Elephas maximus indicus: one gene and its partner. Each later gene encodes a partner of the first gene's protein in a complex. Links are inferred from orthologs where the notes say so. Each region holds a gene or a part of one and is shown in the gene's direction. Other genes may lie near its edges.

Region 1 (7,578 bases):
AAAATGCAGATGACACAACCTTGCTTGCTGAAAGCAAAGAGGACTTGAAGCACTTACTAATGAAGATCAAAGACCACAGCCTTCAGTATGGATTGCACCTCAACATGAAGAAAACAAAAATCCTCACAACTGGACAAATGAGCAACATCATGATAAACGGAGAAAAGATTGAAGTTGTCAAGGATTTCATTTTACTTGGATCCACAATCAACACCCATGGTAGCTGTAGTCAAGAAACCAAACGATGCATTGCATTGGGTAAATCTGCTGCAAAGGACCTCTTCACAGTGTTGAAAAGCAAAGATGTCACCTTGAAGACTAAGGTACGCCTGACCCAAGCCATAGTATTTTCAATCACATCATGTGTATGTGAAAGCTGGATAATGAATAAGGAAGACCGAAGAACTGACACCTTTGAATTGTGGTGTCGGCGAAGAATACTGAATATACCATGGACTGCCAACGAACAAATCTGTTTTGGAAGAAGTACAACCAGAATGCTACTTAGAAGCAAGGATGGTAAGACTGCGCCTTACAGACTTTGGACATATTGTCAGGAAGGATCAGTCCCTGGAGAAGGACATCATGCTTTGCAAAATACAGGGTCAGCAGAGAAGAGGAAGACCCTCAACTAGGTGGATTGACACAGCGGCTGCAACAATGAGCTCAAGCATAACAACGATTCTAAGGATGGCGCAGGACCGGGCAGTATCTCGTTCTGTCGTGCACAGGGTCGCTATGAGTCAGAATCGACTCGACAGCACCTAATAACAACTTCACTAGAGGGAAGGAGGATCAAGATCAACAGCCCGAGGCTAATTCCTTTGAGGGAGAGGTCAGACATGCCTCCTCTCTCTGCCATCTTTACCAATTCCGACACCAACTGCCCCTCCCATGGCATTCTCCACTTCTCTGCTGAGTTCAATAATTTATTGCAACAGCCACACAGAACACACAGACCATACTCACAGTTATGGGGCTTATAGGGAAGTAACAGGTTACAACTCAGGTTCAGGAATGCTCAGAATGCAGTTCTCCCATCAGGACAGCCTCTTCTCAGCCATGCCCGCAGGCACGCTTCTTTCTCTCTGGCCCCTCAGCCTCTGCTAAGGCAAGTGCTAAACAAAACTCTTTTAGCTCTGTTGATAAGTGCTCCAAGGCACCCCACTCCGCCAGTAAGCCTCAGCCTGAAGGTGCGCAGCTTTTTTGCTCCATGGGCCAGGAGGCCCACTGTGCCATCTCCTGCTGCTCTTTCCTGCTGCCGTTCCTCTGACACCGCTTCTCACCATCGTCCGTGTTATAGCCGTGTCTTTCTCAGTCTCCTGGTTTCAGGAGCTTCTCAGTGTAGGGATACTGGGTCCAAAGGATGCTCACCACTCCTGGCTCTTCTTTCCTGTTGGTGGTTAGATCCTCTCCTCCCACCTCTGGGATGGCTTGTTTTTAGCCTAGCAGGATGGCAAAACTGACCAGTCCTCTATGGTGGGCCACAATGTCCTTATTTGCATAACTTACCAAGTAAATTATCAGACGATAGTGAAAAACCAAAAACCCACTGCGGTCGAGTCAATTCTGACTCATAGCGACCCTATAGGACAGAGTAGAACTGCCTGATAGAGTTTCCAAGGAGTGCCTGGAGGATTCAAACTGCCAACCTCTTGGTTAGCAGCTGTGGCACTTAACCACTACACTACCAGGGTTTCCTGAGACCATAATGAGACAGGCCATATAAAATGATCCATCCCACTGCAAGTATGTTTTGAAATCAGAAAGTGTAAGTCCTCATATTTTATTCTTCTTCAAGGTTGCTTTAGCTGTTTGAGATCCTCTGCCCTTCCATATAAATTTGAGAACTGGCTTTCCATTTCTGCAAAGAAGGCTGTTGGAATTTTGATGAGGATTGCATTGAATTTATAGATTGCTTTGGGTAATACTGACGTCTTAACTATATTAAACCTTCTGGTGGTGCAGTGGTCAGGAGCTTTGGCTGATAACCGAAAAGGTTGGTAGTTTGAATTCACCAGCCACTTCTTGGAAATCTTATGGGGAAGGTCTACTCTGTCTTATAGGGTTACTATGAGTTAGAATCAACTCGTGGTGATGGGTTTGTTTTTTTGTTTTGTTTTAATCCATGAACATGGAATGTCTTTTTATTTATTTAGGTCTTCTTTAATTTATTTTAGCAATGTTTTATAATTTTTTGCATAGAAGTCTTTCACCTTTCAGGTTAAGTTTATTCCTAGGTACTTATTCTTATTGTAAATGGTAATGTTTCCTTAATTTCCTTTTCAGCTTGCTCATTGTTGCTGTATAGAAACCTCACTGATTTTTGTGTTTTGACTCTGTGTCTCTCATAAGGACACTTGTAATTGGATTTAGGACCTACTTGGATAACTCAGGGTAATCTCATTTTGAGATCCTTAATTACATCTACAAAGTCTCTTTATCCAAATAAAGTCACATTCACAGGTTACAGGATGTGAACATATCTTTTTGGGGCTCGCCCAGGGAGAAATCTCTAAATAGTTAGAGACGAGACCATTCAACTCACAACAGGAGTCAAGAATGATTCCAAGGTTTTCAGACTGAGTAACAGGAAAGAATGGCATTTGCATGAGCCGAGATAGTAAAGACTATGACAAGAGTATGTTGTTGAAGATAAAGTTCTAAGTGGCTCTTAATTGTGTTTGTATGAGGTTGGGGCTTGGAAGGGTGGGGTGCATTCTAAGAGTTCTGCAGGGTCCATCTTTGCCTCGCTTTTAACACTAAATTCAGAGAAACTTGAGTTCTTTTTCAATTTTCTTGGGCTATCTCCTCTGTGTTTTGGAAATGTCTAACTCATCTTCATGTTTCTATCATCCAGCTACATAATGGGTGCAGTTATTTGCAGTCCATTAGGAAGATCACACACATTGTCATGAGACCGTGGCTCACAATCCTGGCTGTGCCACTTGCTGTGTGGGCTAGGTAAAGTGACTTTCTAAGTTCTTCAGTTCTTCTCAGTTCTCTATTTGCAAAATGGTGGTAATAACAGCCTTCCTGTAAGATTAAAATAATGACTCTTGGAGTCTACCCAACAGTCTAGTACGGTGCACAGTAAATACAGACCTTCTCCACTCCTCTATTAGTTTATAAAATAACCCCTGCAAGAGCTTGGTTGCTAACCAAAAGGTCGCAGTTTGAATCCACCAGCTGCTCCTTGGAAGCCCTATGGGCCAGTCCTACTCTATCCTATAGGGTCGCTATGAGTTGGAATCGACTGGACAGCAACGGGTTTTGCCTTGTCTCTCACAAAAAGGTGCCCTGGTGGCACAGCGGTTAAAGCATTCAACTGCTAACCAATAGGTTGGTGGTTCGAAACCACCAGCAACTCTGTGGGAGAAAGATGTGGCTGCCTGCTTACGCAGTGATTTAGTCTTGGAAGCCCTATGGGGTCACTATGAGTTGGAATCTACTCCACGGCAGTGGGTGGGTGTTTCTCACTAAGGAGCCCTGGGTGGCACAGTGGTTAAGCACTGGGCTGCTAACTCAAAGATCTGCTAACTGAAAAGTTGGCGATTTGAACCAGGGATTCGAACTGGTTTGTTCTGGTTCAAACCCCTGTTGAGAATTGGAATTTGTAACACGTTCCTAGGCCATCCTAATGATGCTGTTTAGGGACCAATGCTGAGAACCACCAGTAGTGCAGGTTCTCGAATTTTATTATACATAAAAATCACCTGGAGATTGTGTTAGACAGTAGATTCTGATTCTAGATATCTGGGGTGGACCTGCAAATTCTCAGCAGGGGTCTGAACCAGAAGGAACCAGTTGGAAGACCTGGTTTGAACCTACCAGCTGCTCCTTGGGAGAAAAATGTGGCAATCAGGTTCCATAAAGATTACTGCCTTGGAAACCCTATAGGGCAGTCCTGCTGTGTCCTTTAGGGCCGCGATAAGTCCGAATAGACTCCACCACAATGGGATTTAGTTGTGTCTCACGACAGAGATTTCTCCCTGGGCAAATCCATTCTTAGGACAAGCTCTGTAGATCCTGAATTGCTTAGCGTACATGGTAGGACTACTTGGTTGCCTGATCAGTCCTCTTGGAGACAGACACTATGGCAGAGGCAAGCTTACCTCATCCTCTCTCTCCCGGTATTCGTTATTCAGGGAAGACAGGAGGCGGCTGAGGAATCGATTTGTGGGTCCAACATGGCGCCGTCCTGGTCCCTGACCGAGTCTCAAAGATGGCGACGTCCTATGGGGGCAGACATGTTCGGACTACAAGATCCAGGCCCAGGCCAGAGGCGGCCGGAACCTGACGCAAGGTTGAGGCGGCGTCCCACCTCCGCACTCCTCGGCGTCGATTGTCTTGTGACAGGTACTTCCGCTCGGGGCGGCGGCGGTGGCGGAAGTGGGAGCGGGGCCGAAGTCTTGGCCATAAAGCCCGAGGCGGCGGCAGCGGTGGTGTTGGAGGCTTGAAAAGGGCGGAGGGGTCCGCTGGAACCGGCATTTGGACTTCTTCTCTGCCCCCGTACATTTTCGCCTCTCCTCGGCAAGAGCTCTCTCAACGCGCCCGGCCCGGAGCCTCCAGCGGAGCGGCCGCGGTAAGCAGCCGGCCCTGCCTGGCCGGTGGCCTTGTCCCATCCCCCTCCTCAGCCCCTCGGTACCCAGGGCCTCGCATCGATCCCGTCTCGGGGAAGGCTCCGCGCTCAGCCCGATCCTCGCGGGGAAGCCGCGCGTTGTTCAGCCCCAGGAGCAGGCCCGGACCGCGCCCGGTCGGGAAGAGGTCAGAGGTTGCCGGGTGTGACCTCTGGCCAGGTTGCCGGCGCTGAGACTGCCGTCACGGACGCCTTGTTTACTAGTGGTGTCAAGACCGGAGACCCACTGGGCACGGGGCCTGTGCGCCCGCGGCGGGATGCTCTAGCCGCTTGAGTTCCTTGCAGCGGCGAGCGGAAGGGTGTCGGAGCCGGCCCTCCAGCAGCCGTGTGGAGGGGACGGTGGTCCAGGCGCCCCCCAGCCGATCGCGCCTAGTGCTCAGCTACTTTGGCATCTGTGTCTTCGGTTGAACAGCCTGATTCGGCCTTGGGGGAGGGTCCCCGATGGCAGCTGAGTTAAGGCAGTGAGTCAGGTCACGTGCGCGGGGCTCACCTCGGAGGCTTGTGTACATGTGAGACGCTTCTGGCGCTGGGAGATTTTTGTCGTAAGCATGTTATGGTAAATCTTGAACGAAGTTTTCAGACTTATTGGGGGAAAGATGATGAATGGCTGTAAAGCTATGTGTGTTTAGTTCAGACTTGATACATACCGGTTGCCATCGACTCGATTCCGACTCATAGCGACCCTATCGGACAGAGTAGAACTGCCCCGTACGGTTTCCAAGAAGCGCCTGGTGGAATCGAACTGCCGACCTCTTGGTTAGCAGCTGTAGCGCTTAACCACTACACCGCCAGGGTTTCCACTTGATACATAATGGTTCTTAAAATGGGAATATAGAGAACAATAATAGGAAACATTTGAGCGCTTACTGTATGCTTGCTGGGCACCGTGCCAAGACCTTTTACACAGGTTGTTTAATTTTCAGAACAGCCTTTTGAAGTACGATTATCGTGCCCACTTGTGGATAGGGAAATCGAGGAACACAGAAGTTAAGTCACTTGTCCAAGATCACATAGCTAATAAGTTATGGAGCTGAGATTCAAACCCAAGGATTCAGACTCTGGAGTACTGCACTAGATGTCTAGGTTGCACTGCTTTCAGGTGCTCCTGAAGCTTGTGATTTCTCTTGTGCTACCTGGTATCTTCCTCTCTCTCCTTTTCTTTCTAATAATGTCATTTTAAAGCCTCCTGAAGTGGCATTTGTTCTATTTAAAGCCAAAAGTCATTCCATTTGTAGTTGTGACCTTTAATGGATATTATTGTAGTGTAGTGTCAGTATATTAGGAGCTCTTGAATTCTGACAAAGTGCTTAATCGGGGTTTGAAAAATTTTGTTACCTGAATTTTTTGTCAATTGATTAGGCTTGGCAAGCCTGCCATGTGAACCTTTCTTACCACCTTTAGCAGAGATGCGGGTGTACAGCCAGCTGGTTCTTCCCTGTTGAAAATACTCTTTGGATTCTGAAAGAACAGGCTCTTGTCTCTTCCTTGTGACTTAAGCAGCTGATTAGCCACATGACTTCTCATCCATGGATTAATAAAGTCTCCTGTTAGTCTGTTTCCCTCTTCAAACTTTGGAAGGTTTATTTAGGTTTGAGTGAGTTGTGAATATTTCTAATACCTCCTGAGAATATTACCCAAGCTAAAGCTTGGAACTCACAACCCCGTCGTGTTCCAGTTTATCTCGTTTTACCTTGCTACTCAGCCTGATATATTTGAGTAATAAGTACTGTGCCCTTAAATAGCGTTTGGGCACTTTTTCATTCATTCATTGAATGTTTTGAGTATCTGTCATGATTCTGATCCTTAAGGAATTTTCAGATGGTGAGTGATCATTGCTAGGAATTCGGTTGTGGACAAGTTGTCCATAGAACTTGAGGCTTTTGGAAAGAAGAGTTATTTCTCATCTCGGCAGGTGAATTTGTAGTAATCCAAACAGTCTAGTGTTTTGGCTAAATTGAATTTTGTTAATTTTAACAACAGCATTCATATGGCTTGCTCTTTAAGAGAATGTAGAAGACAGTATTACAGTTTCTAATTGATCACGTCTTTTGTAACCTTCAGCACTCTAAATTTGTTTCTCCTTTTGCTCTAGTGGCGTTTTTTGTTCACTTGAGGGAATCCGTGTCACTGCCACCCCATTGCACTGCAAGTGAGAGTTGTTGCAGTGTTCATTGAGCAGAGGTGCATTTGGCATGCTAGATTTTTTTCTTCAGCTGACAGAGAAAGTTGAATGTGGTTCCTGCCCATCACAGTACCAGTAACATCCTAGATAAAACACAGTGCCATGCTACCTCCAATAACTGTTTTGTCTCTCCATCTATAAGAGGAGATTTGGGTTTTGCGCATGTAGAACTGCAGTGTAGGAGAAACCAAACCAAAAACCAAACCCAGTGCCGTCGAGTCGATCCCGAGTCATAGAGACCTTATAGGACAGAGTAGAACTGCCCTGTAGAGTTTCCAAGGGGTGCCTGGCGGATTTGAACTGCTGACCCTTGGGTTAGCAGCTGTAGCACTTAACCACTACGCCACCAGGGTTTCCAGTGTAGGAGAAGACACTCTAAAAATGGTATTATTATTCTGTCCAAGTAATCGTGATATTATTATTCTGACAAAGTAATGGTGAGCAACAGCTTGGAGATAGTTCTCCTCCCCCCCACCTGTGGCTAAGCCTCCAAACCCCATAATCAGAGAGCATTGCATTGTACCAAAGTGTGGCTTTGAATCACTTTTCTGACCCCACCCTCAAGTGAAGAAAAAAAAAAAAGTTTTGATTATTTGATTAACTTTTAATAAGTCTTCAAAGAGATCTGCACTAATAACATTTTTGCACTTATATCTGGCATTGGCCTTTCCACACAGAGGTGTATCAAACCCAGACTACGTGGGCGTGGCAGTAGTCTTATGCGCTTTCCCTCTCTGGGATTTGGCATAAATATTTT
Region 2 (7,629 bases), on another chromosome or scaffold:
CTCATTCATGGGGGGTGGTTGAGTCTTACAGCTTGAAATCAATTCTTGGGTCCCCAGGAAGGATAGGATAAAGAAGGGGATGGGGTAGAGCCTTAAGTGGCTGACTTCTATCCAGTCCAGCACATTTCTTCCCAGGCTTTCTCCCGTCTCATCCTGATTCTGCGTGCCCTACATGTGAACAATGACCGGGCAAAGGTGATCCTGAAGCCAGACAAGACCACTATTACAGAACCGCATCACATTTGGCCCACTCTCACTGATGAGGAATGGATCAAGGTGGAGGTGCAGCTCAAGGACCTGATTTTGGCTGACTATGGCAAGAAAAACAAGTGAGCAGGGGTGCCGGGGAGACATATGGGAGATCCAGAAGGGCGAAGCAGCTGGCTCAGTAGGTGGTTTCTGGGGTTTTTAAAAAACATTTAGGCTCAGAAGTTTTTCAAGAAATGCTTAAGAGATGCGTACAGAAAAGAGGTAGACAGTGTAGGAGATGTCTGTGTTGCAGGCCTTCAGTATGATTCTCCGGCGTTGTTTCTCAGTAGAGGCATTGTTCCTATTTTGAGCAGGGCATCTTTTTACAGTCCATACATGCCAGGAAGTTTTAACATTCCAGACCCCCGGGTACCACAGCTCATAGTGTGCACACGCACCCTTCCTTCCCTCCACAACCTCCCTGTCATTGTGGCAACCAAATATGACTGTACATTTCCAAGTACCCCTAGGGTGACAGTGTCAACTGTGATTGAGAACCAGTGTTTTTGAGAATCGTCCTGTGCCAGGGCACCTCTGTGTGCAGGAGAAGTGGGAGGGAGGATGCTGAGCAGCTTTGAGCCGAGCTGAGAGGTACACATGCACAGTGGCCCCTGCCCGGGGTATGAGGAGCCCTAGATCAGTACATCTCCGCTTCTACTTCCTCCTTCACAAGTATCTCTTCAGGATTGTCTGGGGCAAGGTAAACCCTTGCCATTGAGGTAGAAGTGACCAAGGGATCCCAAGGGGGGAAGGGATCCTTGTGGTGCGACCCACGCTGTCCCCACAGTGTGAATGTGGCATCGCTGACACAATCAGAAATTCGAGACATCATCCTGGGGATGGAGATCTCAGCACCATCACAACAGCGGCAGCAGATAGCTGAGATCGAGAAGCAGACCAAGGAACAGTCACAGCTGACTGCAACACAGACGCGCACTGTCAACAAGCACGGTGACGAGATCATCACCTCCACCACCAGCAATTATGAGACCCAGACCTTCTCATCTAAGACTGAATGGAGGGTCAGGTACTGAAAAGGGCAGGAGGGGTAGGGAAGGAATGGGATCCTGGTGGTGCTTAGGATGCTCAAGCTGAGGAGTGCTGACATCCTCTGCTTGTGTTCAGGGCCATCTCTGCTGCCAACCTGCACCTAAGGACCAATCACATATATGTTTCGTCTGATGACATCAAGGAGACCGGTTACACCTACATCCTTCCCAAGAACGTGCTTAAGAAGTTCATCTGCATATCTGACCTTCGGGCACAAGTGAGTGAATGTGGTTAACTTGCCACACTGTATACCCAACACTTGATGTGCCCAAAACTCACTTGAGATGCTGGTTTCAAAATACATGGAAGAGTAAATATACAAGGTTAGGCAAAACAGGAGAGTTTTTGGTCCTGTCAAATATCAAAACATACTATAAAGCTATGGTAATTAAGAGATTACAGTAGTGGCCTAGAAGTTATTGAAAGAGAATAGTACATAGTCAGAAACAGATTCATATGTATATATATATGTGCGTGTGTGTGTATGTATATAAATGTGGTGTATCAAGTCTGGGGGATTAAGGATGTGATATTAAAACAGTTGGAAAAAGGAGGCTAGATCTCTGCCTCACACTACTCAATAAAATCTAGGAGTAAAGATCTCAGTGTAAACTACTAAACTGTAGGGTATTAGAAGAAAATATTTATGACCTTAGTGGTTTTTATTGGTTTAGTGTTGGCATGGCCTTCTTAAACAAGGCAGAAAACACATAACCATAATTGTAATTAATAAGTGTGACAAAGAGTACTACGAAAGACAAACTAGGAAATGGAAAGAAAATATTTGCATAACTAAGAGATAATGGCATAGCATCTTGAATAGAGAATTCTTTGAAGTTGGTAAAAGAAAGATAACTAGAAGAATGGGCAAAGAATATGGAAAGGTAGTTCAGAAAAGGAACAACAAATGGCAAATACAATGTGGAAAGATGTTCAACTTTACTAGTAATCGGGAAATTTGTATTTTTATAAAACACCGTTTTGTGGCTGCTAGGTTGGTGAATTCGAAGATTGTTAACGCCCTGTGTGGTGAGGTTATAGGAAGCAAGTACTTGCTTTGTTGGTGGCGGTATGAAGTGAAAACACCACCTGGTGCTGGGTGCGCAGATGTGTTCGGCTTGTGCGAAGACACTGAGCTGTATGCTTGTGTGCTTGTTTCTTCGCGTGTACTGCGGTAATCTGGGGAGCTGTGGACCCCACTCGGGGTTCAGATGTGGTAAGCCTGAGATGAGGTCTGTGTTTGACATTTTAACAAGCACCCAGGCGACTGCTACAGAAGGTTCTGTCCACATTCTGAGAAACTCTGTCCTTGTTCTTGAGGGAGGGAATGAAGCACAGAGCTGATGGTCAGCATCAAGACTCTGGGCTGGTACTTAGTTTGGCCCTGGCCCTCTTGTCTCCAGATTGCAGGGTACCTGTATGGGGTGAGCCCACCAGATAACCCTCAGGTGAAGGAGATCCGCTGCATCGTGATGGTTCCACAGTGGGGCACTCACCAGACTGTGCACCTGCCGGGCCAGCTGCCCCAGCATGAATACCTCAAGGTAAGAGGTGACGGAGCTTGGGGTAAGAGGTGACGGAGCTTGGGGTCAGAGAACTGGGGCTTTTTGTTAATCAGGGGGGTGGAGGGAAGGCAGGCATGTTACTCATGGATGGAAATTCTTGTCTGCAGATGGGATTCTAAACTTCTTTTTACTGCTCTTGGCCTATAGGAGATGGAGCCCTTAGGGTGGATCCACACTCAGCCCAATGAGTCCCCCCAGCTGTCACCCCAGGATGTCACTACCCATGCCAAGATCATGGCTGACAACCCATCTTGGGATGGCGAGAAGACCATTATTATCACTTGCAGGTGGGCTTGGGAGGAAGTGTGGTGGTGCAGGCATTGTGGGCCTGGCCTGAGCTCTGACTCTGTCATCCTTCCCCCAGCTTCACACCAGGTTCCTGCACCCTCACAGCCTACAAGCTGACCCCTAGTGGCTATGAATGGGGCCGCCAAAACACAGACAAGGGCAACAACCCCAAGGGTTACCTGCCCTCGCACTATGAGAGGGTCCAGATGCTGTTGTCGGACCGCTTCCTTGGCTTCTTCATGGTCCCTGCCCAGTCCTCATGGAACTACAACTTTATGGGTGAGTAGGGGCCAGCATGTTTGTAGGGAGCACAGGGAGCGGGGATGGGTTTATGGTCATCATCCTTAAAACTTGGGGCCTGGCTCTGGCTTGGAGATGGCCCAGGGGCCCAGGCTGGGTGAGGCAGGTGGACCGCTTGTTAACATTGGATGTTTCCTTCGACCCCAAGGTGTACGGCATGATCCCAACATGAAGTATGAGCTGCAGCTGGCAAACCCCAAGGAGTTTTACCACGAGGTGCACAGACCCTCGCACTTCCTCAACTTTGCCCTTCTGCAGGAGGGTGAGGTCTACTCTGCGGACCGGGAGGACCTCTATGCCTAGTTGTTGCCTCACCTCCTGCTTCAGACTCCCCAGAAGCTGGAGCTTTTTAACCCCCACAGACAGCTGGTGACATTCAGCAGCTTGGCCCCCTTCTCTATTTTGTGCTTGTTTTTGTGTTGTTGACCTCTTGGTGACTTGTAATTCTGAACAAAGTGTAACAATAAATTTTGTATAAATAGGAGTCTTTTTTTTTCTGAGCTCAAAATTCTGCATGTAGGGGTCGTGGGAGGCTGGGCTGTGGCCCTTGTTCACAGCCAGATGATGGGCTCAGCCTTGGGGGCCAGAGGCCCTTTAGTCAGGGCTGTGGGGCTAGATAACCTCTAGATTCAGTGAACTGAGGTGGGCTTGGCTTTCACACTCCTGCTACCCTAACCACATTTGCTAGTTTCCCTCCAAAATACTTCCAAACCATCAGCCTGTTTTCAGCATCTCTTTGAGCAGTTGCTTTCTGTGTTTTGAGCCTGGGAGCTCTGTGGCTTGGTGCAGGCTGCAGCTATGATGCTCAGCCTAGCTCCTTCAGCTCTCTGTGACACTCCTAGTTGTAGAAACAGGCACACAGGTGGCCAGTTTGGGTGGCCAGTGACAGCCCTACCTCACCTCTTGGCTGGAGTACTTGGCAGCCAAGTCAGGCCCATGACTCTGGACTCAGGGGTGGAGCCTGGCCTGGGCCCTGTGGGGAGGGCTCCACTGAAGTGACCACTTGCAGCCCTGAGTTTCAGCTCTTGGACGCCTGGGTGGAAGTTCACTGTCCTGTTTCCTGTGACCTTGGGTTGAAATGGACAGGGTCGAGGGGGCCTAGGGCACTGCCTCCCTTCTCCACGATCTTAGGCTTAATTGCTCCTCCCCCGCTGCTTCTCCCCCTCCCACTACAGCCCAAAACCGCTTCCTGGGCCGGAACTGGTTTTTCCTGCCCCAGTTGGGGGGAAGCGGGCGAAGCCCTTGGCCTTCGGGGTACATGGAGCCCCAGAAGGCGGCACCTGGGGAGCATGGCTGGGGGTCTCGAGTGGCCGCGGGGTCGGAGTCGGCCGCGGAGCTCGTGTACCATCTAGCGGGGGCTCTGGGCACTGAGCTGCAAGAGCTGGCGCGCCGCTTCGGGCCAGACGCGGCAACCGGGCTGGTGCCGCTGGTAGTGCGGGCCCTGGAGCTCCTGGAAAAGGCCGCGGTGGGGCCCGCCCCAGACTCGGTGAGTCACTGCCCCACCTCTCGCCACCCGCGAGCGGGCAGCGGTCTGACCCTGAGCCCTGGACTCCCCAGCTGCAGGTCTCGGCGCAGCAGGCCGAACAGGAGCTCCGGCGGCTGCGGGAGGAGAACGAGCACCTCCGCAGGGAGCTGCGCTGTGGGCCGCAGGGTGAGTGCAGGCCTCCGCCAGGACAAGGGGGGACTGGGGGCCAGTCTAGGGCCTCTCTCCGACCGGCCGCCGCTAAGAATGCCCGCTTCCCCAGAGGAACGCGCTCTGCTGCGGCAGCTCAAGGAGGTGACCGACAGGCAGCGGGACGAACTTCGGGCGCACAGTCGCGACTTGCTACAGCGCAGCCAGGAAACTGAGGCGGTGAGGGCAGGGCGACGGGCGAGCGGCGGGCTCTCCCAGCCCTGGCGCCCCGCCCACCAGCCGCCACCTCTTGACCCCTCCCCCCGCCCCGCAGTTGCAGGAACAGCTGCAGCGCCTCCTGCTGGTGAACGCTGAGCTGCGGCACAAGCTGGCGGCTGTGCAGACCCAGCTGTGCGTGGTGCGAGACCGTGAGAGGGAGAGGGAGCTGCAGCGCGAAGTGTCCCCGGGGCTGGCGCAAGAGCAACCGCTGGGCCAGGCCCAGGGGCCCGGGTGCGAGCAGAGGCAGAAGCCCGAGCGGGCAACTGCTGGGGCAGGAGCCCCGGGGACTCCTGAGGACCCAGTGAGTGCCTGATGAGGGCAGGGACCCACTCGAGTACCTACTCACAGCGCCCGACACTGGCTAGCACTGAGGAAAGGTGTGCTGTGCTGCATGGCCGATCCATCCAGAAGTAGGAAGGTGGCACACAAGTTTGCGCCCCCAACCGGCCTCTGCCCTCACTCCCAGCATTGGTCTGTCATCTGTTGTAGCACCTTCGCCCCCCAAGTCTCCCTGCCAGTCACTTCGTAGTGTTTTTGTGATCGCCCTGTGCTGGCTGTGGTGGCCCCCTAACCAAACCTGTCCATGTGCAGGCGGATGTCGCGCAGCAGCCAAAGCGTCCCCTGGAGGTAGGCCAGTGCAGCTTCAGTAGAGAGGAGCTTGAGCAGATCCTGCAGGAGCGGAATGAGCTCAAAGCCAACGTGTTCCTGCTGAAGGAGGAGTTGGCCTACTTCCAGCGGTGAGGGAGCTGGGCAGGCGCTGGGGCGCCGAGGGGGCTCCACTCACATCTGTTCCTGGGCCTCTGGTCACCCTGCTTCATTCTTCAGCTCATTGATTATCCACTGGGAAGACATGAGTCAAGGAAGCTTCATCCAAACTGGGGAGGGGACAGTGCAGAAGGTCACGGGAGCCACAGCAGCAGCAGCCAGGGTGGTGTTCCTAGGAGGGGTGCCACCTCAGCTAAGGTCTGAGGGGGGTTAGCAAGTCAGAGTGTTTCAAAAAGGGGAAACAAAATGCACAGGTGCTTGGCGTGAGGCCTGTTGTTGGCATGTCCATCCTCATTGCTTTGCCCTGCCCCTCTCCCTCCCCTCTAGGGAGTTGCTCTCAGACCAGCGGGTGCCAGAGCTTCTGCTGGAAGCCATGAAGGTGGCTGTCCGGAAGCAACGGAAGAAGATCAAGGCAAAGATGTTAGGGACCCCAGAGGAAGCAGAGAGCAGGTAAATCCCTACCCTCTGTCCCCACCGGAAGGAGCCCTGATGGTGCAGTTGTTAAAGCTCTTGGCTGCTAACCAAAAGCTCTGCAGTTAAAACCCACCAACTGCTCCTTGAGCTCCTCAGGAGAAAGATGTGGCACTCTGATTCCATAAATATTTATATCTTTGGAGACCCTGTGGGGCAGTTCTACTGTGTCCTATAGGGTTGCTATGAGTCAGAATTGACTGGATGGCAGTGGGTTTGGTTTTTGGTTTTATCCCCAATGAGCCAGCCCTTTCTCCCTCCCTGGTTCTGCTGAGCCTACTGACCTAGACTGGTAACCCTCCGAGTCTGTCATTCAGCCTGAACCTGTCACCCCAGCTTGGTTACCCCCTAAGCCTGCTGGTCTGGTCTGGTCACCCCCTGAGCCTGCAGCTCTGGCCTGGTCACCCCCTGAGCCTGCTGCTCTGGCCTGGTCACCCCCTGAGCCTGCTGCTCTGGCCTGGTCACCCCCTGAGCCTGCTGCTCTGGCCTGGTCACCCCCTGAGCCTGCAGCTGTGGCCTGGTCACCCCCTGAGCCTGCTGCTCTGGCCTGGTCACCCCCTGAGCCTGCAGCTCTGGCCTGGTCACCCCCTGAGCCTGCAGCTCTGGCCTGGTCACCCCCTGAGCCTGCAGCTCTGGCCTGGTCACCCCCTGAGCCTGCTGCTCTGGCCTGGTCGCCCCCTGAGCCTGCAGATCTGTCCTGGTCGCCCCCTGAGCCTACTTACCTGGCCTGGTCACCCCCTGAGCCTACTTACCTGGCTTGGTTGCCCCCCGAGCCTACCATCCAGCCTGCCCTGCTGAGCCTACTACCCTTCTCTCTGGATCCAGGACTCCTCCCACGTGCCCTGCTTGCCATACATTCTGCTGAAGAAACCTGTTCACAGCGCTTCTCTGCGTGCATTTTTTGGTTTCCTGCCTTGGCTGAATCTGTTTATCCTCAAGTCTACAGCCACAGCCTTGTCAGGAGCCTGCTGTCTCTCAGGCTATGAATTAAAAACCTCACAGTGTCCTTCACCTCCCCAGTGTCTCTTTCTCTCCAGCCTTGGGGGCCCT

What was found.
Region 2: the proteins of RAB7A (region 1) and RILP are in contact, whole or in part, in a crystal structure (PDB 1YHN), measured with the Homo sapiens proteins. The link is inferred for Elephas maximus indicus from reciprocal best matches to the Homo sapiens genes RAB7A and RILP. Residues at the interface, in NP_004628.4 of Homo sapiens: Ser3, Lys6, Leu8, Ile41, Gly42, Ala43, Asp44, Phe45, Leu46, Thr47, Thr58, Trp62, Ser72, Leu73, Val75, Leu182, Tyr183, Asn184, Glu185; in NP_113618.2 of Homo sapiens: Phe248, Glu249, Leu252, Gln253, Arg255, Asn256, Lys259, Ala260, Phe263, Leu264, Glu267, Glu268, Tyr271, Arg274, Glu275.

What each region holds. Positions count from the first base shown.
Region 1 is NC_064838.1:41,759,237-41,766,814, reverse strand, and holds the start of RAB7A (ras-related protein Rab-7a), read left to right. Parts: upstream 1-4,392; 5' UTR 4,393-4,585; intron 4,586-7,578.
Region 2 is NC_064837.1:20,053,886-20,061,514, forward strand, and holds the start of RILP (rab-interacting lysosomal protein), read left to right. Parts: upstream 1-4,466; 5' UTR 4,467-4,710; coding exon 4,711-4,938; intron 4,939-5,009; coding exon 5,010-5,103; intron 5,104-5,197; coding exon 5,198-5,304; intron 5,305-5,398; coding exon 5,399-5,644; intron 5,645-5,934; coding exon 5,935-6,080; intron 6,081-6,435; coding exon 6,436-6,558; intron 6,559-7,404; coding exon of another isoform or gene 7,405-7,444; exon of another isoform or gene 7,445-7,629. Other genes in the region: PRPF8 (pre-mRNA-processing-splicing factor 8), read left to right, coding at 136-329, 1,037-1,276, 1,375-1,516, 2,703-2,843, 3,012-3,151, 3,229-3,431, 3,601-3,755. UniProt on the Homo sapiens protein: Rab effector playing a role in late endocytic transport to degradative compartments. Involved in the regulation of lysosomal morphology and distribution.